6 linked regions of the Zea mays genome follow. The protein of the gene in region 5 binds, or shares a complex with, the protein of the main gene of each other region. Links are inferred from orthologs where the notes say so. Each region holds a gene or a part of one and is shown on either strand. Other genes may lie near its edges. The genes, in order: 50S ribosomal protein L34-like; 50S ribosomal protein L13, chloroplastic-like; 50S ribosomal protein L24, chloroplastic-like; 50S ribosomal protein L31-like; 50S ribosomal protein L3, chloroplastic-like; 50S ribosomal protein L4-like.

Evidence for each region.
Region 1: 50S ribosomal protein L3, chloroplastic-like (region 5) and 50S ribosomal protein L34-like share a complex: the UniProt entries of both Arabidopsis thaliana proteins name them as parts of the 50S ribosomal subunit. The link is inferred for Zea mays from reciprocal best matches to the Arabidopsis thaliana genes AT2G43030 and AT1G29070.
Region 2: 50S ribosomal protein L3, chloroplastic-like (region 5) and 50S ribosomal protein L13, chloroplastic-like share a complex: the UniProt entries of both Arabidopsis thaliana proteins name them as parts of the 50S ribosomal subunit. The link is inferred for Zea mays from reciprocal best matches to the Arabidopsis thaliana genes AT2G43030 and emb1473.
Region 3: 50S ribosomal protein L3, chloroplastic-like (region 5) and 50S ribosomal protein L24, chloroplastic-like share a complex: the UniProt entries of both Arabidopsis thaliana proteins name them as parts of the 50S ribosomal subunit. The link is inferred for Zea mays from reciprocal best matches to the Arabidopsis thaliana genes AT2G43030 and RPL24.
Region 4: 50S ribosomal protein L3, chloroplastic-like (region 5) and 50S ribosomal protein L31-like share a complex: the UniProt entries of both Arabidopsis thaliana proteins name them as parts of the 50S ribosomal subunit. The link is inferred for Zea mays from reciprocal best matches to the Arabidopsis thaliana genes AT2G43030 and emb2184.
Region 6: 50S ribosomal protein L3, chloroplastic-like (region 5) and 50S ribosomal protein L4-like share a complex: the UniProt entries of both Arabidopsis thaliana proteins name them as parts of the 50S ribosomal subunit. The link is inferred for Zea mays from reciprocal best matches to the Arabidopsis thaliana genes AT2G43030 and RPL4.

The regions. Positions count from the first base shown.
Region 1 is NC_050098.1:192,685,844-192,689,705, reverse strand, and holds 50S ribosomal protein L34-like, read right to left. Parts: upstream 2,462-3,862; 5' UTR 2,436-2,461; coding exon 2,186-2,435; intron 914-2,185; coding exon 654-913; 3' UTR 510-653; downstream 1-509. UniProt on the Arabidopsis thaliana protein: This protein binds directly to 23S ribosomal RNA.
Region 2 is NC_050098.1:202,897,709-202,901,746, reverse strand, and holds the start of 50S ribosomal protein L13, chloroplastic-like, read right to left. Parts: upstream 2,819-4,038; 5' UTR 2,713-2,818; coding exon 2,488-2,712; intron 2,005-2,487; coding exon 1,819-2,004; intron 1,253-1,818; coding exon 1,082-1,252; intron 299-1,081; coding exon 182-298; 3' UTR 1-181. Other genes in the region: uncharacterized protein LOC100285659, read right to left, coding at 3,518-3,774, 3,881-4,038.
Region 3 is NC_050100.1:50,135,638-50,139,959, forward strand, and holds 50S ribosomal protein L24, chloroplastic-like, read right to left. Parts: upstream 2,812-4,322; 5' UTR 2,755-2,811; coding exon 2,626-2,754; intron 1,190-2,625; coding exon 1,151-1,189; intron 1,063-1,150; coding exon 835-1,062; intron 700-834; coding exon 517-699; 3' UTR 331-516; downstream 1-330. UniProt on the Arabidopsis thaliana protein: One of two assembly initiator proteins, it binds directly to the 5'-end of the 23S rRNA, where it nucleates assembly of the 50S subunit. Required for optimal plastid performance in terms of photosynthesis and growth.
Region 4 is NC_050098.1:221,940,130-221,942,783, forward strand, and holds 50S ribosomal protein L31-like, read left to right. Parts: upstream 1-1,303; 5' UTR 1,304-1,361; coding exon 1,362-1,451; intron 1,452-1,557; coding exon 1,558-1,860; 3' UTR 1,861-2,153; downstream 2,154-2,654. UniProt on the Arabidopsis thaliana protein: Binds the 23S rRNA.
Region 5 is NC_050100.1:79,035,685-79,038,786, forward strand, and holds 50S ribosomal protein L3, chloroplastic-like, read right to left. Parts: upstream 1,901-3,102; 5' UTR 1,757-1,900; coding exon 1,258-1,756; intron 1,005-1,257; coding exon 715-1,004; 3' UTR 522-714; downstream 1-521. UniProt on the Arabidopsis thaliana protein: One of the primary rRNA binding proteins, it binds directly near the 3'-end of the 23S rRNA, where it nucleates assembly of the 50S subunit.
Region 6 is NC_050096.1:38,266,524-38,270,492, reverse strand, and holds the start of 50S ribosomal protein L4-like, read right to left. Parts: upstream 2,817-3,969; 5' UTR 2,791-2,816; coding exon 1,884-2,790; intron 1-1,883. UniProt on the Arabidopsis thaliana protein: This protein binds directly and specifically to 23S rRNA. May play a role in plastid transcriptional regulation.

The sequences.
Region 1 (3,862 bases), on a different chromosome or scaffold from region 5:
AGTAGCGCAAGGATCAAACGGCCGCACGGGTAAGTAGTTTCATCATCAGCTAATGAAGGTAAATCCGGTTTGTCTTATTCAATTTTTTTTTTGAAAAAATAAAAAAATCCAAAGCCATACTTAAAGTATATTGTATGCTAATCAAAACCACAGTAAACTTTAACAATAATTATGATTTTTTAAATAAAACGAGATGGTCAAACTTAGTGTAAAAAAGTCAAATGAATTATAAATTGGAACCGGAGTATATAATAGTTTAACTGATTATCCCTGCAACGCAAAAGGAGATCCTAGTTCAGTATAGCGAACGATGCTACTGCACACAATTTCAGACCCAACAGGGAAGATTCAGTATTCATAACGGAATATGGGCAGGGTAAAAGGAGATCCTACTTCATAACAGCGACGGTATCTACTCTCAAGTGTTCCTTCATACTGCACGCAGGTTCAGGCCCACTAGGGAAGAGTAAATATTCATAAGAAAATATCATTCATACACCAAATAAAACCTTGGAAGCAGAAGGTGATCCAGATATTTTTAACCAATTAAACAGGAATAGGATGCTACATGATTGTTACACATAGATGGCGGCTTAGAAGATTGCAAGTAGACATTACACTTACAGTTGCGAGCACATCAAATTGCAGTGTAATTAGAACATTCTTTTCTTCCCACTGTTTGAGTTTGTCCTTGTGCAAAGAACCTTCCTGCCTTTGGCGCGCCTGCGCTTCAGTACCTTCCTTCCAGAAGTAGTCCGCATCCGCCTGCGGAAACCATGTGTACGGGCAAGTGACTTCCTAGACCTTGACCTCTTGGTCATGCAGAGGGCAGCCTTTCCAGCCCTAATCTGCATACCACGGGATCTCCGTGTTGTCATTATACTGTAGCTGAACTCGATTCCCAAAGATGAACCTGGCATAGAACATGCTATAAGTATAAGAACAACGAAGGCACACATGCACTCACAATCATTGATTTGTGAATACCTATCTGGTTGTGTTTGGATTGTTATACAATGCTTAAATGGTTTGTTGGATTCAACTTTGTCGTGCTTCTTTTAGGAGCTTTGGGATTTGCTTTAGGTAATGGAAAAGTCGAGTGTGATTAAAGTGTTGTCGTAGTATCAGACTATCAGTCCTGAGATCAAGTTTCTTGGAAGCGTTTATGCTTCAACTGTGTTATATAATCTTCACTATATTGGTTAATAGTCCTGTCATATGCAGCCCTTCTTAAATCTTGATTTCTTGTCAAGCAAAAGAAAATGCTATTGCAATGACTTTATCTTGAGACTTGGTGGATGACAACATGCAGTGCCGTTGGTGGGCTCCTTGCCATTGCAGGAACAAGGTGTGGGTTTTGGGGTAGCAGATTTTCGACAAAAGCTACGCTCGGCTTTCTGTTGATGCCAGCAATGGTGACGCACTCCTCCTTGTAGGCATTGTCAAGAGGTCTCTAGACCCTAAGGGGATTTTGGTTCAAAAGCATAGGTTCTATAATCGATGGCGGCACCTGCAGATGTTGTTTACCTCCTTGGAGGCATCATATGAACCCCACCCCATATCTTGTTTGGCTATCAGGGCGTGTTCTGATTGCCAATGCTCTGATGGTTTTATTGGCGATGTACTATTATTTTGGTGATTGTCTTGCCATCGCTTCGTTTCGTGAGCATTTTTCTTTTGTTTTCAACGATGTTGGTGTATCTAGTCCTTCTCTATTAATATGCCCGACTAACTGAATTTTTGGTTTTTTTATAATACCAACCACACAAGCTTCAATGTTTTCAAAGAATTAGTTAGGACACCCTTATTTCTGTTTGTATAGATGAAGTGAGTGTAATTAATTCCGGTTCAAACGTTAAAACAACATAAATCCCCAGTTACTGTTCTTCACCCTACTAGAGTAATGAACAACAAAGAACAAACTATTCCAAAACTCCACCCTCTTGATACCAGCTTACTGTATTATTAGTGAATTATTAGCAAGTCAAACATCCTATTCTGCAAATCTATCGTCAACACACGGTCATGAAGTCATAATTTCAAATTTTTAATGTCATTTCCCCGTACGAGCTTACTAGTAAGCAAACTACCCACAAAATTTCCCCAAATAAAGACCAAAACAAATGGCCGCCCAAACGCTAGCACACGAATACAGGAAGAAAAGGATTACAGGATACATTCTCACCCGCAAACGCGGAGGAGGACGTAAATGCCAGAGACGCCGAGACAGCCGCCGCGAGCGAAGCGGGGGAGGCGGAGGCGGAGGCGGACGACGTGGAGGAGGACGAGACGAAGGAGCTCCGGAGGAACGGCGAGGCGGATACGCCCACCGGGGCCGCCCTGCGAGTGCGGCCGACGCCTCCGATAGACGCCGCCGAGATCCTCCCGGAGTGGAAGGAGAGAGACGCCATTGGAGAGGCCAGGGCGAGCGCCATGGTTTGGAGGACTCGCAATCGCAATTGCTGCGGTCTAGCCACTCCCTGTCCCTGGTGCTTGTTTTATTTTATCTTATCCACGCTTGATGAGACAGGCCTTATGGGCCTCCTATGGGCTAGTGCACATTTGACCCACACATCCCCTCCTCCGCCCTGGAGAATCCCGGTTCCTCACGGAGAAATTTAGGATTGCGCCATTATCAAAAGTGAGTTTCGCTATTTTACCATTAATTAGAGGGCTTCATTCCATTATAAAACTTACAATGATACTAGTTGTATGCCCGTGCATTGCTACGGAGTAAAATATGTTAAGATAAGATACGTTGAAATGCAGAAGCATTAATTGTTGTCCTATACTCTTGTTAGCATCTTTTAAAGATTAAGAATGTTTACAAAACTGTATCATGGTAAAGCTTGAAGAATTGCTTCCTCATTTCTGGATCTTTAGCTCTAAGTCCGAGCATATACAGTTGTTGAAAGCCAAAAGGGGCCGCGCGGACGGTCCACGGTCCGGACTGTCTTCGGTGGTGGCGCGGACGGTCCGCACGTGCGCAGAGTCAGTTAGGGTTCCTAGTTTCTCATGGGATTTGTTATCTAAAACCGTGGGATTGACTCGGAAATCAGTTCGAAGCGGATCCAGACCTCCCCCTTTATATAGATGAAGGGCTACGGCCGATTGAACTCCCCAACAATCGATCAAATCAAGTCTATTACTCGTTTTTACCTTATGCATTAGGAGTAGTTCTAGTCTAGTTCTAGTTTAGCCCTAGTTTAGTATTCTAATCCCCAAATTCTCCGCTTCTCTTCGACTCTATGTCGATTAGAGGATCTAGGTCGGCCTGTCGAGCCTAGACAACCCCTAGAATCTCTCCTCCCCGACGGGGTCCCTCCCGGGAGCGAGATCCAGGCGCCGCCGGCGACCTTTCGCCGCCCCTGCGCACACGCGGACCGTCCGGCCCCTAGGGCGCATACCGTCCGGCCGTCAGGCAGGGAACCCTAGCCCTGCGTCAGGTCGCGGACCGTCCGGCCCCTGGGCGCGAACCGTTTGCGCCTGTGTAGAGAGCACCGTCGCCGGTTCTTGTTGAGTGTTTGGCGCCCGAAAAAGGTGTCAACATACTTTTGGCGACTCTGCTGGGGACTAGGTGTCTAGACCTGCTAAAAATCGGCCCATAGATGGTCGGTTCTAAGGATCACACCAAGATCTCCACCACCAACATCATCAAGCCGGCCATGGAGGCGCTCCCGGCTGATGACCAAAGACCCTTTGAAGACCTCGTAATGCGTGATGAGAAGGAGGTGATGCAGCAATGGAACGAACAACGCGACAAGGAATAGGCGGAGCTGCTGCATAAACTCTCTGAATGGCACAAGGAGCCGGTAGAAAAGTACTTGTCACACTTCACGGTGGATCGCCACCAGAAGATCAC
Region 2 (4,038 bases), on a different chromosome or scaffold from region 5:
CATTGACAGAAATTTGACTGAATTTCATGCATTGGTAAACATCAAAATTACAAAGAGGATTTATACTCCCCCCCCCCCCCTCCCCGATCAGAGGCATGGTTATGAGGATAGCATTCCAAACAAAGGGCAAAACCTTCTGGGGAGGAATTCGCCACTGCATCCTTTTCAGTCGATGAATTCTCTATCCAGTTTTTTGTATTCTTTTATCCCTGATCGGGAGTGGGACAGGTTTTTGAGCCTCGTGCGGATGTTCTGTCCCTTTGTATACCTTGAGGTGGGTAAATAATCTTCTTCCCAGCTGCAAATTGGCAAAAAAGGTGAGCATATAAATGTAAATATAACAAGTATATAGCACATAACAAAACTAAGTTAAATCAAATTTGCCATCAACAAGAAAAATGGAATGGTTAGGGGGGATGCTTCAGATAACAAGATATTTGCCTGCCATAATGTGAGTTTCAGTAAACGCATCCATACTACCAAACAATTGAACTAAGAAGCAATTTGCAAGAAAAAGGTTAATAGGCAATTTTTATGGAGTTCATGCAACACACCTTTGCGAACTTAGAAAAAAAAAGATCGGCAAGATAATTAACTAATTCAATCTGGACTTGTTAATTTTGTTCAATAACAACATTCCCTTGAATTTAGTACTGTGATTTATTCTGAATGTCACGCTTTCACTGGGAGGTACATGCTGATGCATGAGCAATGTTCTGACTGCAATACACTTCAGGGCTTGTTCGTTTCGCCGTTAATCCATGTGGATTGAGTGGTATTGAGTCGGTTTAAATCCATAGCAAGTCAAAATCCATCCCAATCCATCCCAACACACCAATCCACATGGAATTGAAATAACCGAACAAGGCCTCACCATTAACTATAGTAGTTCTCAATCTCAAAAGAAAAAATTCACATCTGCTAACTAATACCAAATTGTAATTTTTGGGACCTTAAAATAAAGGTCACCAGGAAATTTGGTTGTCATTTTCATATTTGGCATACATTATAACATGCGCACTAAAACGAGAAAGAGAACATGTAGACCTGAGGCAATCAGCTAGTAGATGTTTTTTCTTACCCTTCCCTTGGGGAGCATGCCACGAACCGCATGTTCAATGATTCTCTCTGGAATTCTTTTCTGAAGTTGGTCAAAAGTTTCTTCTTTCATCCCTCCAGGCCTTCCGGAGTGCCTCCTATAAAGCTTTTGTGACCGCTTTTTACCAGAAACAGCAACCTTATCTGCATTGACCTATGTGAATAGAAAAGGTTGTTAATGACTCTCAGCATTGTAGTGTAACACAATAATGCATATCATCTACTCCATCTGTTCCAAATTATAAGATGTTTTGGTAATTCTAGATACATAGTTGTTACTAAATATCTGGACATGAATTATGTCTAAGTGCGTAGCAAAAGTAATGGATCCAAAAAAAATCCAAAAAGTCTTATAACTTGGAACTGAGGGAATACGTGGTAATGAGCCTTTAGAGATGCACCAGTCACAAAAGGACTATGCTAACATAAACATTAAACACAACTACAGTTGAAGATTATTTGAGGAAGGTTACTCACCTCAGTACCAAATAATCTGAGGGAAGTAAAGCATGTATACTAAGGCCCTGTTTGGAACCTCTACAGCTAATAGTTAGCTGCTAAAATTAGCTATACAGGTTCCAAACACCCACAACTAATTGTTAGCTAACTCACAGTTAACAATTAGTTCATTAGCTGGCTCAACCCAGCTAACAATTTGTTAGCTGGCTACCTGTTAACTGTAGGGATTCCAAACACTATAGGTATTGAGAGAACGCTTACCACAATAACAAAAGCTCCCATGTCTACACTAGGAGTGTAAGTGGGTTCATTCTTTCCCCTGATATGTACTGCAATGGTGGATGCTAGCCTGCCTAGGATCTTGTCTGTTGCATCAACAACATACCATGTCTTCTCGGTAGTTACATGATCTGCAGCCTTAGGATACCAGGTTGTATTCCATATGTCCTGCAAATTAAATCACTGAATCAGATTTCAGTAGACACAATTACTTGTGGAGTAATTCATTAGAAGAAAGAACAAGGCATAGTACAAACAAACCATTCACTTTGTACCCATAGTATTAGTAACTGATCCTAAACAAGTCACAATTATGAACAGGCTGGTTGGCAACCATCAGTTCACTTTGACTTGCATGTCCAATTAAGCTCATTTTTAATGAATTCTCTCTCACCACAAACAGCCCATGGGTAATTTTGGATATGATGGCACATGGCAGATAACATATATAATGTACGCAGTTCTATTGTAACTTGATTGCCCTTCATCATGCACATAAAAGGATAGTCGAAGCCTCTGAGGTGGATTAAGATGGCCACGGTGAAACATGAACAAAATAGGATGGACACTGTCAGTCCAGGGTTACAATCCTGCAAAACGAGCTGTGAAAATGTGCACATTGTTTCAAGAGAGGAAGAGAGAGCGTCGTACGGGGCCGCAGAGCTCGTCTCCCTCGAACATGAAGCGCTGCTCGCGGGGCACGAGCGCGGCGAGCGGCTGCCTCTTCTGCTTGTCGCTCTTCTCGCACCGCACGGCCAGTCCCACCGGGGCGGCCCGGCGCGGCCCCACGGACGCGGTCCGGGTCAGGCGGCGGTGGTAGTGGCGCGGGGCGAAGGCGGAGGAGAGCAACGTATGGGAGGCGACGGCCGTAGCCATTGCGGCACGGCGAGCGAGCGGCAACAGGAGGAGGATGTGCAGACGGTTGGTTCAGTGGGACGCGGCCATTTTTAGGCGCAGTGGGGAGCGTCAAGCGGATAAGGGGATAGGAGACAAAGAACAGGGAAAGGTTAACAAGAACATATGGGCTTCATGGGCTCAGAACGAAATGCAGATTTGGCCCATTACGACACCTTATCAGCTCATCTGAGATTTAAACGCTTCCTTTGAAACTCTTCCCAAACTCAGAATAATGGCGGTTCCATAATTCCATCTAAAAAAAAGAAATTCAATGTATTACTATTGGGCAAAGGGAGCTGCATTAACAAAATATAGCTTCAGACAGGACCATATTTTTTTCAAACGATTCCGCTGTTCAAGTACCAATTAGAAACATCGGTAATCAGAGAAATTCTCGAGTCCAAATAAAATGACGGGAACAGAACTTCCATTGCTGCTAGTTTCCGCGACAACCATCAGCAGCAGAAGCCGAATTAATTGATAACGGACACCATTTTCACATGTTCCATCAGGAAACGGAAAGGAGGCAGAAAAGTGTTCATTCTCTTCTAACCAAAGAAAGCATATCTTTTACATATATAGTGGCAACATCGTGTGATTGCGTTGCAGTGAAGCAACAGCTTAACGTGTTTCTGGTTCAGATCCAGGATTCCCTCGCAGGAAGAACGCAAAGATGATAATATACAACAACAAAATTGTGAACCAGAGATGTCGAGTATCGACGATTAGAACCATATGTAAATCAATGGTTAGTTGGCTACCAGCAAATGAACTGGGAGGAAGGTTACGAAGTAGTAGAAGACCCTGAATTTGTCTGTGTAAGAGGTTTTACTTTCCTTGTGTGACCCAAACTATTCACAAGATCCCTGCGAGTGCATACAGGAAACATGCTCAATCCATGCATGTTTAGCCGCCACAAAACGTATGGAAAACTGAGCTGATCACGAGATGTGAAGCGAACCACTTCATTAAACCAAGCACACATGAAATGGTTCGTTGCAGGGGTGAGTTCCCTCACAATAACAGAGGCTTCGGCTAGAGCTGAAAAATCAAACGGGTAAATTCATTATAACAGTTCGGAAAACATATACAGAGATATTCCACAGGAGCAAAAGAACAATTGTTTGAGAAAGATTAACAGACTGACCTTTCAGTCCGTGCAATCTTTTTGTGTCCGGCATTCCATCTTGACGATACCGAGTCAATTGTACCTCTACCTCTTCAGGGGTAGCCTTGTGCTTTTGAACAATAGCTTTCCCCTCATCATATATGTTACTCCGTGCTCCATGTTCAGAGATAGCAAAT
Region 3 (4,322 bases), about 29 Mb from region 5:
TATATGTGCACTATTGCTTCATGTGCACAGGTTACTTCGCCTTTGTAATATGCCTTTGTAATATAGGAAATGATATATGTGGATATTTCTGAGGAAGTGAGGACGAGACCGAGAGTAGTGGGTCCAGAGCTGCAAACGAACACGGGCTGCCCGCACATACAAGCCCGTTCAGGGCTTGTTCGGTTACACCAATCCAGAGGGGGATTGGAGGGGATTAAATCCTCTCCTAGTCAAAAATGACTAGGAGGGGATTTAATCCCCTCCAATCCCCCTCTGGATTACTGTAACCGAACATGCCCTCATAGTTTTTCATCCAAAACTCTGACTGGTGAAGCGGAACAAGATCAGCATATGCTGATGCGCATTGACTTGCGTTGCAAGATTTGGTGACAACTGTATAATTTACAGGGGGAAAAACTGGCGTAAATAACAACATAGAGGGATAAACAGGCTCAATTCAACATGCAAGACGCAGTCAGCGTTCAGAGCATTTTGCAGGTTTTCATGCTAAAACTGTTACTCCGAATTTCCTTCCTTAAAAACCTTTACCCACTTCTCAACACTGTCGATTACTTCACCGGTCTTGACCAGGTATCGGACCTTGGTCCCGTCCTCCAGGAATTTGTGGCCAACCCTGCTTACCACACTCTTCTCCTTAGAGTAGAGCATCACATTTGAGCTATGAATGGGGCCTTCAATCTGATCAAAGAAAATTTAAGTCTGATCAAGAGAACGATTAGGCACCTACTAAAACTACAGATATGCTCTTGAAACCAATATGTGCAAAGCATCATGAGAGGCCCAAAAAACAAGTTCAATAGAAATTTTGCTGACCATGACGATTTCACCGGGTTCATCGTCTGTGCCTTTCTTGTGCTTCGACTTCAAGTTCAGGTCCTTCACGATCACCGTGCTGTTGTGCTTGAAAAGGCGTGTGACTTCTCCAACCTTTCCTTTCTCACGGCCTGCAATAACCTGTACCGTGTCCCCGATCCTAACATGCATCTTGTGCAGCACAGGAAGACTGTTTGGTTTACACTTCTTTCGCTCCCATCTCTTAAGCTGCAGTGGAAAGTGAAGTTTTAGGACATTTCACATTATTGGATAAAAAAGGTATCAAATATTTGGACTAAAGATTTTTTTTACTCACTCTCATTTCAATTGGGCATATCTTGACCATAAACCTTACCTGCATATTGAACATATTAAACAGCTTGTCAGAACTTCACATCCTAAAGACATAAGATTCCATTTCAAATCAAAGAGACACTAATCAGATGCTTCTGAGATATGGCATGACTCAAACACAGTGGTTACGATTCATGTTGATCTGATCAAGACACTACAGGATCCAGGGCTCCTCTTTATGTTTGAGTAATACGATATCCCTTAAAATACAGTGGTTCTATCACTTCCTTCAACAGTGATTACTTGACCTCACTATCTATTCTTTACTTGCTTTTGCTTCTTAACAGAAAGGTTTATCCTCATCCGATTCTTATCAGTTGGGAATTTTCCAGGCACAAGTACATACAGGTAAGGCATAATAAAGATGACACAGAAAAGAAAGCAGGGTTCAAATACAAACATCATTATGCTCATAATACACTATTTGGCGCCAAATTTTGTTTCCAGTTAGTCATATGTATTGTGTGATGTGGGGTAATTCAGGCATAAATATATATAAACAAAATCAGTGGCACATTGAGGGCAACATAATTTCTTCAGTTGACATTTTGACCGCTTCAAAAGCAACATAATTTCCTCAGTTAACAAACTAAATAAAGAGTACTCGAACAAATTTTACCACATGAAACACAGCATACTCTCTATTAGCACTAAAAGGCAAACATGTGCATAGTTGTATATGCAAAAAGGACAATACCGGATTACCAATGACAAAGGAAATTCTCTTACTTAAATTAATCCCAATCAGTTAATCTATTTGGCGCACTCAAATCTTACCATTTAAGCTTCCATGCAAGATAAAAATAAAAAAAGAAGGTAGACGAAATTCAATATGGACACGGTCTAAATTTAGTGTGTGTCGTGGAGCAAATAGAAACTTAATGTAATATGAAATCTAATAAGGGCGAGTTTGGCATAGTTCTACTCCAAAACTTTGGGTGAAGTATATCTGCTCCGAAGTGTAGATTGCTTTCTCATAACCAGTGCATTGGATGTGTCTTGATTGTTTTTGAAGGATTTTTCAAAGTAGCAAAAAATGTACTCCAAAAAATTATACTACAACTCTCAAAACTCTATAGAGTTTGCAACTCTAGAATTAGGGTGTTTAGTTGACTTTGTCCAGGTCTTCCTTAAAGTTTTGCTCTAGAGTGATGTCAAACACCCCTAAACATAGTCATATTAGAAGCCTGGTTTGTCATCCTTGAAAATGCACAATTAATAACAATGCAAAGGTAATTTTCCATTTCATTGCATCCAATCCATACAGACTAGCTCCAAAACCGTAATGCAAGCTCGAATGTCCCTAGAACAATTCCATCCGACCGCGCTTTGCAACGCTATCCAGAAACTCCAGAGTAAAATCTTTCACCAGAACAGCTACTTATTATCTACCAAACCATCAGCAGAACGGAACGGAATTGGGAAGCAGGAACAGACCCCAGGCTGCGGCGCGGAGTAGGTGGCGAGCCGGTTGCCCCAGAAGCTGCTGCTGCTCGCCGTCGCCGCGCCTAGCGCGGAGATGGAGAGCGACGCCATGGCGCCCTGCAGCGATGCCATCCCAGCCATCCTCTCGCCGCTCTCCCTCTCTCACTGGACTTGCTCAGCGCCCAAACTGCTCAAAGGATAACGCACGCGGCTTCTTCGAGTTGCCCGGAACCGGAAGAGAGAGGATAACGCGCTCTTGTATTCTGACGCTGGTGGGTTGGGCCTCGTCACTAAATGAGACAGGCCTCAGGTGAGGCACAGATGGGCCTGGAAGACGCTTAGGTGATCCAGTGAGGCCCATGGGTGCTCGTTCTACCGCCGTGAGAGGCTACAGGCTAGGGCCTCGGCTCCACGAGCGAGCTCCGCACGCATCAGCTGATCAGCATCACTGCATCAGCTATCAGGACGACAGGACGAGGACGGCGGGGTCAAGGCTCTCTTTCTCTCTCCCTCCCTCTCTGCGTGTCTCCTCGCACGCTACGCGAGGCCACGCGAGATTGCTTGGGAGATGCGTGCCCGCCTCCAGATTCCCCGTTCCAGCGCCGAGGCGCGCAAGCTACGCGACGGTTGCTGAGGCAAGCGAACCCCCTACTCCAGTTTTTCACTTTGCTGTTGTGTAAAATAAAATTCGCGTTACAGAGACAGAGACAGTTTGGGCGATGGAGGGTAGGTGGATGGCGGTGACATCGAAGCTTTGCGCTTTTGCTGCTGCAGGTCCCATCCTGCACCGAGAAAGGGTGGGATGTCAATCGGATTTCTCTATTGCAAATCATGGTTGCAAGTTAGACGTGTTTACCTCAGATCTTTTTCTCCAGAGACATTGGGTATCTCTTTTCTCATAGTGGACTACATTTCTCCCCCTCGAAGTCAATATCTCTTTCTTCGACTTTTCATTGCTGGCAGTTCTGCGCATGTCCTAAATCCTTGAATCATAGTAGGACATCCATGACAGATCACATAAACAACACGGCCAATACATCACTGGGCAGTTGGGCCTCGGCTCCTATCGCCGTCATCTAACTACCATCTAGGGAATCAGGAATGGTCCTGCCGTGCAAGCAAACCTTTAACGTTCCCCATGGGATAAGCATGTGACTATGCAAATGCCCGACACAAATTATATCTTATTATGGTTAAGAATCTTGTGTTTATTTTTCTCTTTCTCCTTTTCTATTCGCCACATGTGTTGAGATAACTATGCAAATCGTGACATGAAGTTTTGTTTCTATGTGGCGCTACCAAACAAAATGGATAAGGAAATGTGTGGCTTTTTTCCATGATAATTGCGACAGTTTCATTTCGTAGCTATCTGTTCCTCGTGGCCATAGTAATGCTTTGCACTTTGTTAATTTTGTAAGAAAAGAAATGGCATGATCTAATAATAAGGCCTTCTCTCTATGTGGCTAACTGGCAAGGGCTTAGCAATCCTCCCCCTTTCTAACTATAACCTTTTAAGGCATGGATGCTGGAGTGCTGGGCAAAACTCAATCTGTCTGGGCAAAGCTCTACTTGCTTGCGACACTCCAGATGTGGACCATTTTTTTTCACAGGTTTCGGAGCTAGACATGTCAAGTAGTTTCCTTCGGTTGTTGATTAATTTGCCCACTGTGATAGAGATTTTGCACCTTGTGGCCTCCACAAGAGTTACT
Region 4 (2,654 bases), on a different chromosome or scaffold from region 5:
AATTATGATCGACAAACATTGTTATACTCATACAACATGGAATAAATCTTTGTAGATGTAGTTAATCGATAAATAACAAATATAAAATTGCACCTATCAAAGTTAAAATATATGAATACTTAGCTAGATCTATTATCAACAAGGCATAATGAATAGAGATAGCCAAACAAACCAAAGTTAAAATATATGAATACTTAGGGCAGCATGACGTACGAATAATGATATACCAAAAGGTGATAGAAGAGTATAGTATTTAGTAAGAGCAACTACAATAGTTATGTATAATAATAATACCTAAATCCTAGATATAGCAAGTTCTCATATAATATAGGGGAAAAAATCATCTCATCCAACATTTCTCTATCTATTACTTTCTAAATATGTTAAATTTTAATTAACATGACGCTAGTTTGAGTAGGACCATTAGTGATGACACATTTAATTGGTGAGTTATGTTGGCTTTTTTATTTACTATCACAATTGTTTATTCGTTTATTTCTAACATGTGCACGTGCGGCTATTGCATTGGCAATTGGTTAATCTCTAGTTGACTACCTGCCACAATTTTACATCGTCGGCGTCCGACGAATGTGCTCTGTTAATATATCTCTACTACAAAGTGAAAAAACACCAAAATACAAAAGTTATCGTCAGTTTTTTGTTTAGGAAGTTGATAAATGGTTGCTAAATGTAGGGAGAAATTGAGATTAGATGAGAAGTAGCTAAATTTAGAAAATTCATTTAAGAGAGTTGTTGGAGATGAGTTTTTAGTTTAGCTACCTAAATTATTTATTGATTTAAGGAATCTTTTGGAGAACTACTAGAGTTGCTCTAATAGAGTTGCTCTAAATTATTTAATTTTATACTCTTAAGAAAACCGTAACAACTGTAATTGTAGTTTGCATATCATTCCTTAATTATATTTAAGTCAGACTCTACACGGCATGCAACTTTCTCTTCTTTTGGCCCACTAATTCAACCAACCATCTACCAACACTTTCATTTCTGGTGGTGTACTTTCTTCGACGTTACATCTATGAAAGAGAATTTTGATCCGAAATGTTTCGATAAATAAAAAACCGCATAGCTATACCTCTTTAGTATAGCTGGCCGCCAACTGGAAATAACTGAAGGAGAAATTGGGCACTGGATTTTTCGTGGGCCGTCGCATTTCCACGTAGCCCAAAACAAACCACAGACAGACTTTAATGAACATATAGAGCCCAAACAAGCCTAGACAACGCTACCTAAAGAGAGAATCGACGAGCGCCAGAGGATAACATTAGCAAGGCGATAGATAAGAGGAAGGAAAGAACATAGGCAGCCGAAGCGACTGTCGCGAGGCAAGGCCATCGTCCGCCATGACGCTCTCCCTCTCCACCTCTTTCCTCCCCATCCCCGCCGCCGCGAGGACCACCGCCCGCACCCTACGCTCCGTCGTCCCCTCCCAGGTACGCACGTTCGTACACACCGGCCCTCCCTCTCGCCATTCCTGCACGGATCTTCGTCGTCGCCGCCGCTAATTCCTGAGTCCGGAACCTGGACGGCGCGGTGCAGGGGATGCGCTGCTCGATGCGCAAGAAGGGGTTGCACCCGGAGATCTACGAGGACGCGAAGGTGTACTGCAACGGCGAGCTGGTGCTGGTGACGGGGGGCACCAAGCCGGAGTACACGGTGGACGTGTGGTCCGGAAACCACCCCTACTATGTCGGCGACACCTCGGCGCTCGTGGTCATGGACAGCCAGATCGAGAAGTTCCGCAAGAAGTGGGGCCACATCAAGGAGTACTGGCCCGAGGACCAGTGGAGGGAGATGCACCCAGACGGCGACCCGGAGTTCGAGCCCGAGGGGGACAACTGATTGATGGCTCCCCGTCTTCCTCACCCGGTGCGTGGTCACCGGTCCAGTTTACATTTGCCCTCTTGAATGGAATCGAGACTCTGTCTGTTCGCATTGCTCTCCAGGTGTTCGGTTAATGTTCGGAATGGAAAATGTACAATTACTACTACTTCACGAGATAGGGTCTTGTTGATCATGGGCCCCCAAATACAATGTGCTTTCTGCAATGCACTCTAGGGTAGGATGGTATTGATCAAACAAGCAAATGATCCTGGTTCGAGGAAATGGATATTTCTCACTAGGAGTATACGCTGATGCTTGACTACAGCTTGAGTCGTCTGCTGATAACCTGATACCGCATACTGTTTGATCAAACTAGCCTCCTGTTGCTAGGTGATCCAATTTCCGAGTCATAGTTTTATACAACCAATTTTTCCATGCGACTGAACTAATTGAGTGTCCATGTGTTGCATGATATATAAAACATGTCGTGACATACGGCCATATGGGTGGAATAGAATATTTGTAAAATCTCATGCCATTACAAACAATTAGCACCAACATATAATTCAAGCTAATTTCTATAAAATAAAACAAAATGACTATAATATTATTGGCTTAATCTAGACAAAAGAAAAGTAAGTAATTTTATTTTGTTATTAATAAACCGTTGAAGATAATATCATACACTAGCTCTGATTCACTCTATTTCCTACGTTGATAGAAAATGTGGCGGAAATAAGAATAGATAGCGACAAGCAAATAGATACTCCCTCCGGTGTTATATTATTTGTCGTTTTGGATAATGTTCGAGT
Region 5 (3,102 bases):
AGCAGTTTCTGTACGATTGCTAACTTCTTTGGTCGTATGTTCTTTATGTGCAGGTTGAGGAGTGATCCATTTGTACAGACTATTTTGGGCAGCTAAATATCTACAATTGTGGTCGTGGAACTAGCTGATTTGGTGGCCACTGTTTCTTCTTCCGTGTTAGGTTTTGTGCTCTTAGAGTAGAAGCATGGATGGCTTATTATTATGATCAAATAATCCGTATTGAAGGGTGGCCCAAACAATCCGTCTTCTTTGTATCTTCTCTGAGGGTGATGTGGTAGCAAATGTATTCGTTCAGTTGGCTATAGTGGAAGCTTTACGATTATGTCAAAGTTCTCCTTTCTGCCCCCCTGTTGCACAAGGTTACGTCTGCAGTTTTTCTTGTTTGTCGCATTTCCTGGTTCCGTTTTGGTTGCGTTTCCTGACTCAGATCAGTACATATCTGCATGATCTGCGACCATTTGTATTTAACTATTTGTATGATCTATGGCCATAGAATTAATCAACTATTGTTTAGCGGAATTCAGGAACCAGAAGTGCATCTTGCATTACCTGCCTATTACTCTCTCACCCAAGCATCCAAATTGTACAGGTTATAGTTTTACTAATCTGAAGTTGCATGTGTTCAAAAACTGGAAATTGGCAAAGGATTACATCCAGTTTGTAGCAGGGTAACAAACACAAACACTCAACATTCACCCCCCTGAAAAAAGAAGTCTAGTTCTTGGGGATGTTCTTGCCGACGATCTTGGCCGGCGTTATGCGGAGGAGGTTCCCGGGCTTCCCTGGCACGGCCCCCTTGATCATGAGCACCCGGAGGTTGTTGTCGATCTTGACGATCTTGAGCTTCCTGATCTTGGTCTTGGTTCCTCCCATCCTCCCGGGCATCTTCTTCCCCTTGTACACGCGGCCCGGCGTCGTCCCGGCTCCGATGGAACCCAGCTGCCGGTGGCTCTTGGAACCGTGCGTCATCAGCCCGCGCTTGAAGTTGTGCCTCTTGATGCCACCTGCGCAGTGCCACAAGTAAAACCGCGCGCGAGCGGATCAAGAACGTTGCAAGCTAGGAGATTGCACAAGTGGCATAGCAATCGCAAATGCAAACCTTTGAAACTACAGCTACAGCAAATGCTGCTAAAACTTCACTCTCCATGAAACGGAACAATGACACATACAACCGAGGCTGGCAGATCATTAGCAGAATTGCTGTTGCTGGCAATGCAATCGCACTATTGGATGGAGGCGCGAGAATCGGTGTACTACCTTGGAACCCCTTGCCGATGGAGTTGCCGGAGACGTCGATGAGGTCGCCCTCCTTGAAGAGGTCGGCGAAGTCGAGGGGCTGGCCGGGCTCGAAGGCGTCGACGGCGGTGAGCCGGAACTCCTGCAGGTGGCGCAGCGGCGGGGCGCCGGCCTTGCCCAGGTGGCCCAGCTCCGGGCGGGTGAGCTTGTCCTCGCGCACGCCGTGGTACCCGACCTGGACGGCGTCGTACCCGTCCGTGGCGGCCGTCTTCACCTGCGTCACCACGTTGCCGCCCTCCCGGAACCCGACCACGGTCACCGGCACCGGCTTCCCCGTCTCCGGATCGAAGTAGGTCATCATCCCCACCTTGGTCGCCATCACGCCCACCCCGGCCTCGTACGACGCGCGCACCGCCACGGGCGCCCGCCGCCGCCCGCCGCTCCAGGGGACGGCGCCCTGGCGGCGCTGCGGGAGGAGGAACGCCACTGCGCCGCCCACGCCCACGGCCGCCATGGCCATGCTTGCTTCGATTTGACTGGGATTAGCAGAGGGGAGTGGCGCTCTCGTTCAATTTGACTGGGATTTATGCGGATGCGGATAGGCCGCTCTTCCTCGCGCCTATCCCCTTATCCAAGGAGGACGTCTGCTCGGAAGCGACTCAAATAGATACGCCTTTCTACAAAGAAAGCGTATATACAGTTGCTTAGAAATTTGCATGGCAAGACCTCCATCCATTCTCCTATTGTCACGTACTTAGTGTTTGGTTGAGGAGCCAAGTAGAACGGAGCCATTCCATCCCTGATTCTAGGAACAGAGCCGCTCTGTTCTGTGTTTGGTAAGTTGGAACAGAGCTGTTGACGCTTTTTCGGAGCGCCAAATACTCAAGAAGAACCGGCGGCGGTGCTCTCTGGTCAGGCGCGGACGGTCCGCGGCCTGGGGCCGGACGGTCCGCGACCTGGCGCAGGGGCTAGGGTTTCCTGCCTGACGGCCGGACGGTCCGCGCCCTAGGGCCGGACGGTCCGCGCGTGCGCAGGGGCGGCGGAAGATCGCCGGCGGCGCCTGGATCTCGCTCCCGGGAGGGACCCCGTCGGGGAGGAGAGATCCTAGGGGTTGTCTAGGCTCGGGCCGGCCGACCTAGACTCCTCTAATCGGCGTAGAGTCGAAGAGAGGCGAAGAATTTGGGGATCGAGAGGCTAAACCTAAACTAGACTAGAACTACTCCTAGGATAAAATGCGAAATAGAAGTTGTATTGATTCGATTGATGATTACAAATCGGCCGTATACCTCTCTATTTATAGAGGAGGGGGCTGGACCCTTTACAAACTAATTCCCGAGCTTATCCCATGATTTTAGCTAACAATCGTAGCACAAAACTCGGAACCCTAATCTGCTCTGTGCACACGCGGACCGTCCGGCCCACAGGCGCGGACCGTCCGGACCGCGGACCGTCCGGCCTCAGGGCCAGACAGTCCGCCGGCTCATTTTGGTGTCAAACATATGCCCCCCTGCCTTTTGGTGGAGCTGAGCGAACCAAAAGCAACTAACTCGATGTGATCACATCAGTTTTCTTAGGCATCTTGACACTTGCTAGGATGATACGTAGTGGCCTTAGTCCCGATGGTTGACTCAACGGACGTGACTCTTTTAGCTTTGATCGAACTGTCAGTCCCAACACCGTCGAGCGTCATAGCGATCCTGACCAATCCGTCACCTTACTTTTTCTAATTTTCCAAGTGTTCTGGCGTAGCTTCGTAGTCGACCAGGTCTTCCCCTTGTAGGTCATCTTCCTCCATGGGTGTCGGTACATCGTTGGTGGTGTCTTGGTGTAGTGCGGATGGTTCGGCCTCAGGGGTCGGATGGTCTG
Region 6 (3,969 bases), on a different chromosome or scaffold from region 5:
TCGGCTCTCAATGTTGTGCAACGACGTCGATAGCCCTCCACACTATTCTGCCTGAGCCGCGACCACTCCTTGACGATCTTCTCGCCAACATCGATGTCTTCGCCATGCCTTCTGGATTGCCACCAACTCGTGCATGTGACCATTGCATTCACTTGCAGCCAGACACGACAACAGTCGCTGTCCGACCCTACCGCTACTCGTAGGTCCATAAGGACGAATTGGAGTGCAAAGTCGTCGACATGCTGGTCTAGGGCGTTATTTAGCCTAGCACGTCGACCTTCTCCACATCGATGCTCCTCGTCAAGAAGCATGACTCCTTGCTCTTCTACATCGACTCCTTGCGCTTCCTCAACGACTACACGGTGAAGGACAAGTTCCCAATCCTCGTCGTCCCCGTCGTTGATGAGCTCCTTGACGAGCTCCATGGCGCCCATTTCTTCATAAAACTGGACCTACGCTCCGGGTACCACCAGATCCGCATGCACACAGGCGACATCGAGAAGACCGTGTTTCACACCCACCATGGCCACTTTGAGTTTCTGTTGGTGCCAGTTGGGTTGGCAAACACGCAGGCAACATTCTAGAGCCTCATGAATGAAGTCACGCAGCCCTTACTCCGTTGGTTTGTCCTTGTTTTCTTTGATGTATTCTCATCTACAACGACTCGTGGTCAACTCATCTGCAACACGCCTTTTTCGACGCCTCCATGCACACTCCCTCTTTGGCAAGCTCTCCTTTGGCATGACGTCCGTCGCATACCTAGGGCACGTCATCTCCGTAGATGGCGTAGCCATGGATGGAGACAAGGTGGAGGCCGTCACGTCTTGGCTGCACCTTCCTGGGCCTTATGGGGTACTACAGGAAGTTCATATAGGAATTCGACCTCATCGTGGCGCCACTCACCAGCTTGCTAGGGAAGGACACCTTCCACTTGTCACCGAAGGCTGAGACGACCTTCACCGCACTCAAGCGCGCACACTCCACTGTGTCGGTCCTCCATCTGCCAGTCTTCGATACCTTGTTCGTCGTGGAGTGTGACGCGACGAGCATAGGGTTCGGCGCTATCCTTCAGTAGGGCGCAGGACCACTGGCCTACTTCAGCTGACCATTCGTGCCATGACACCAGAAGATCGCCGCCTACGAACGAGAGCTCATCGACTTGGTGCAAGTCGTGCGTCATTGGCGCCCATATCTCTGGGGGCGCCGGTTACTCATCTGCACCAACCACTTTAGCGTGAAGTTCCTGCCTGATCAACGCCTCTCAACGATCCTGCGGCACCAGTGGGTGAGCAAGTTGTTCGGCTTCAACTTCACGGTGTAATACTGCCCCAGTTGTCTCCATACGGTCGACCACGCCCTCTCCCGCCGTGACACCGACATCATTGGCCGCCACAACAATTGTGTCTTGTTTTTGTTTCTTTGCAGGTTGGCTCTCTCATGAAATTTGTGGTTGTCCTATTTTATGTTGAGGCGTGTCTGCCATTCAGACAAAACCATCTTATTTCCCTTCAATGCAAGGCAGAGCTCCTGCCACTCTCTTTTAGAAAAATGAGAAATATGGTAAGAGGTGCATTTTTATTCAGCAAAACATAGTCCTGTACAAAACCGATATTCAAACCCCATGTCTTGGTCCTTGAGTAGTGTGGTTTTATGCCATTCAAATTTACATTGTAGATAAAATGTTCCCCAAAATAATGGTGATGCAATTCAATCCAATCGGCATTACTGCTTCGTAGCACTACCATTTGCTATTCTCCTTCAACCTGTTGAGACATGTACTAACTGAAGGATAGCAGTTACTAGCAGAGAGCCCATATATGGCCAGTACAGGAATAATCAAGCAGCGCACTGCAACCAGCAAAGCATACTCTGTAGCTATGTACCTGGAGCAGCATCTGCTGTGGTGCCTTCTTCTGCTTCTTGCTCGACCAGTTCCTCCTCGCCATCATCCTCGTCATCAGTATAGTAGTCATCGGAAACACTGGCTCCGTACCTGGAGTTGAGGTAGTCTACAGCAGCAGGAGTAAAGAAGAGCTTGCGTGCGTCGAGTATGTCGTACAGGTTCAGCGTCCTGGGTGTGAGCATTTTGAGGGAACCAATGTTCCTGCCGCTGAGCCGCACATTGTCGTCGAAGTCCGTGGCAAAGAACATGGCTTTCTGCTTCGGGTCAAGCCCCCACCGCTGCAAAGCGGCCACGAAATCCCTGGTCTTGGGCCCCGACGCGAAGGCCTCCTCGAACTCCTCGACAACGAAGGCGTCCTTGGCGGCGCTCACGATGGCAGTGGAGATGGCAAGGCGCTTCTCCTTGCGGTTGATCTTGATGGACCAGTCGCGGGGCTTGGGGCCGAACACGACGCCACCGCCGGGACGAAGCGGGGTACGCTGCGACCCCCGCCGCGCCTTCCCCGTCTTCTTCTGCTGATAGGGCTTCCTCCCTCCGCCTCTGACCTCGCCGCGGGTGAGCGTGGAGGCCGTGCCTCGGCGCGCGTTCTGGCGGTCGGTGATGATAGCGCGGTGCACGACAGCGCGCGCGGTGGAGGGTGGCGCGGATTTGAGGTCGAGGGTTACCTCCCCGACCTTCTCTCCGGTGAATGAGAGCACGGGGAGGGTGGCCGCCTCGGCGCGCAGCGCGCGGAGGACGGAGACAGCCGCCCTCGTCCTGACGGCGGCGTGTGGAGTGACGGCAGCGGAGGAGGGTGGGAAAAAGGAGGTGGATGAGGAAGAGAGGAAGGGGGAGGAGGACGAGGAGAGCGAGAGGAGGAGAGGGGAGACTACGGCGGCGGCTGGCATTGTGCCGGCTTCGCTGCGCTAGGTACGGGACTACGGGGTGAGGCGAGGACGATGGCTCTGACGCTCTGCCTCTGCAGCTGCCGCTTCTCTATCCCTTTGTTATCCACCCGTTCGGTTCGGCCACTCCTCCCCAGACAGACTCGTAGTCCCTACTTGCCAACGCCACAAGAAGGCACACTGTCAACTGTCTCAGGAGTCACCGAGTCAGGTCTCATGCCGAGTCGGCTAGTCGCAGTCGCACTTCACAAGTTTGAGTAATTTTTCCTTAAAAATCCATTAATATTACAAGTAATGAAAGGGCATTTGCCGTGTTAAGTGAATTTATTTGCTTGCAGTTTGCTAAAACTGGTTGACACGGGACGGGAGGAGACGAAACCGTGCCTGTGCACTTAAGTCAGCTGCACCTGCAGACTCAACTGCAAGTGCCCAATGCTTTCAGCACAGCTGGGATAGATAAAGGGTGAAAACGAATCTTCAGAAATTCTAGGTAAAAAGGATTAGGCTATCCGCAACCGTTACCCCTAAATTTTTCCCCCTATATCACTTTTCCCCCCTATTTTTCTCCCTATTTTTTCATCTCCCGCAGCGGTTCCCCCTAAATACTCCCCTATACCCCACTACAACTATAAAATATCATTTTCTATATCAACTATTAATTTTTTATCTACTAACAATTACTCGTGGACCCACAGCACAGTGTTTAGGGTGATGAACAGTGACACGCTAGATCTGGGGGGAGATAGAAGGGTGCCGACGCGTAGGGGGCGCTGTAGGGGGCACCGCTGCGGCCGTAGGGTGCCCCCTACAGACGGCATGCAAGGGGAGGGGGAGTGCTAGCGGTGACCGCTGCGCACAGCCTTAATCAGAAGTTCTACGTTCCCTTGGCTTCCTGATGATAACCAACTTGCACGCGTCTCCTTACCGACAAGGTAACAAGCAAAGTCATGCAGGTCAAGAAACCTGAATAGATGACTGCGGATTGCATTCTCATGATAGTTTTTTTTTCCAGATATTCTGCCACCCTTGCACAAACCATAAGGTAAAAGCAAGTCAGGAAATCAGAAGTTTAGAGCAGATGGCCGAAGTTCAAATTATCATACTTATTTATTTTCTTCTGTTTCGATCTTCCACGATACATTCTACATGAATGATACAAATATCTATCCAACATAGTCTTTG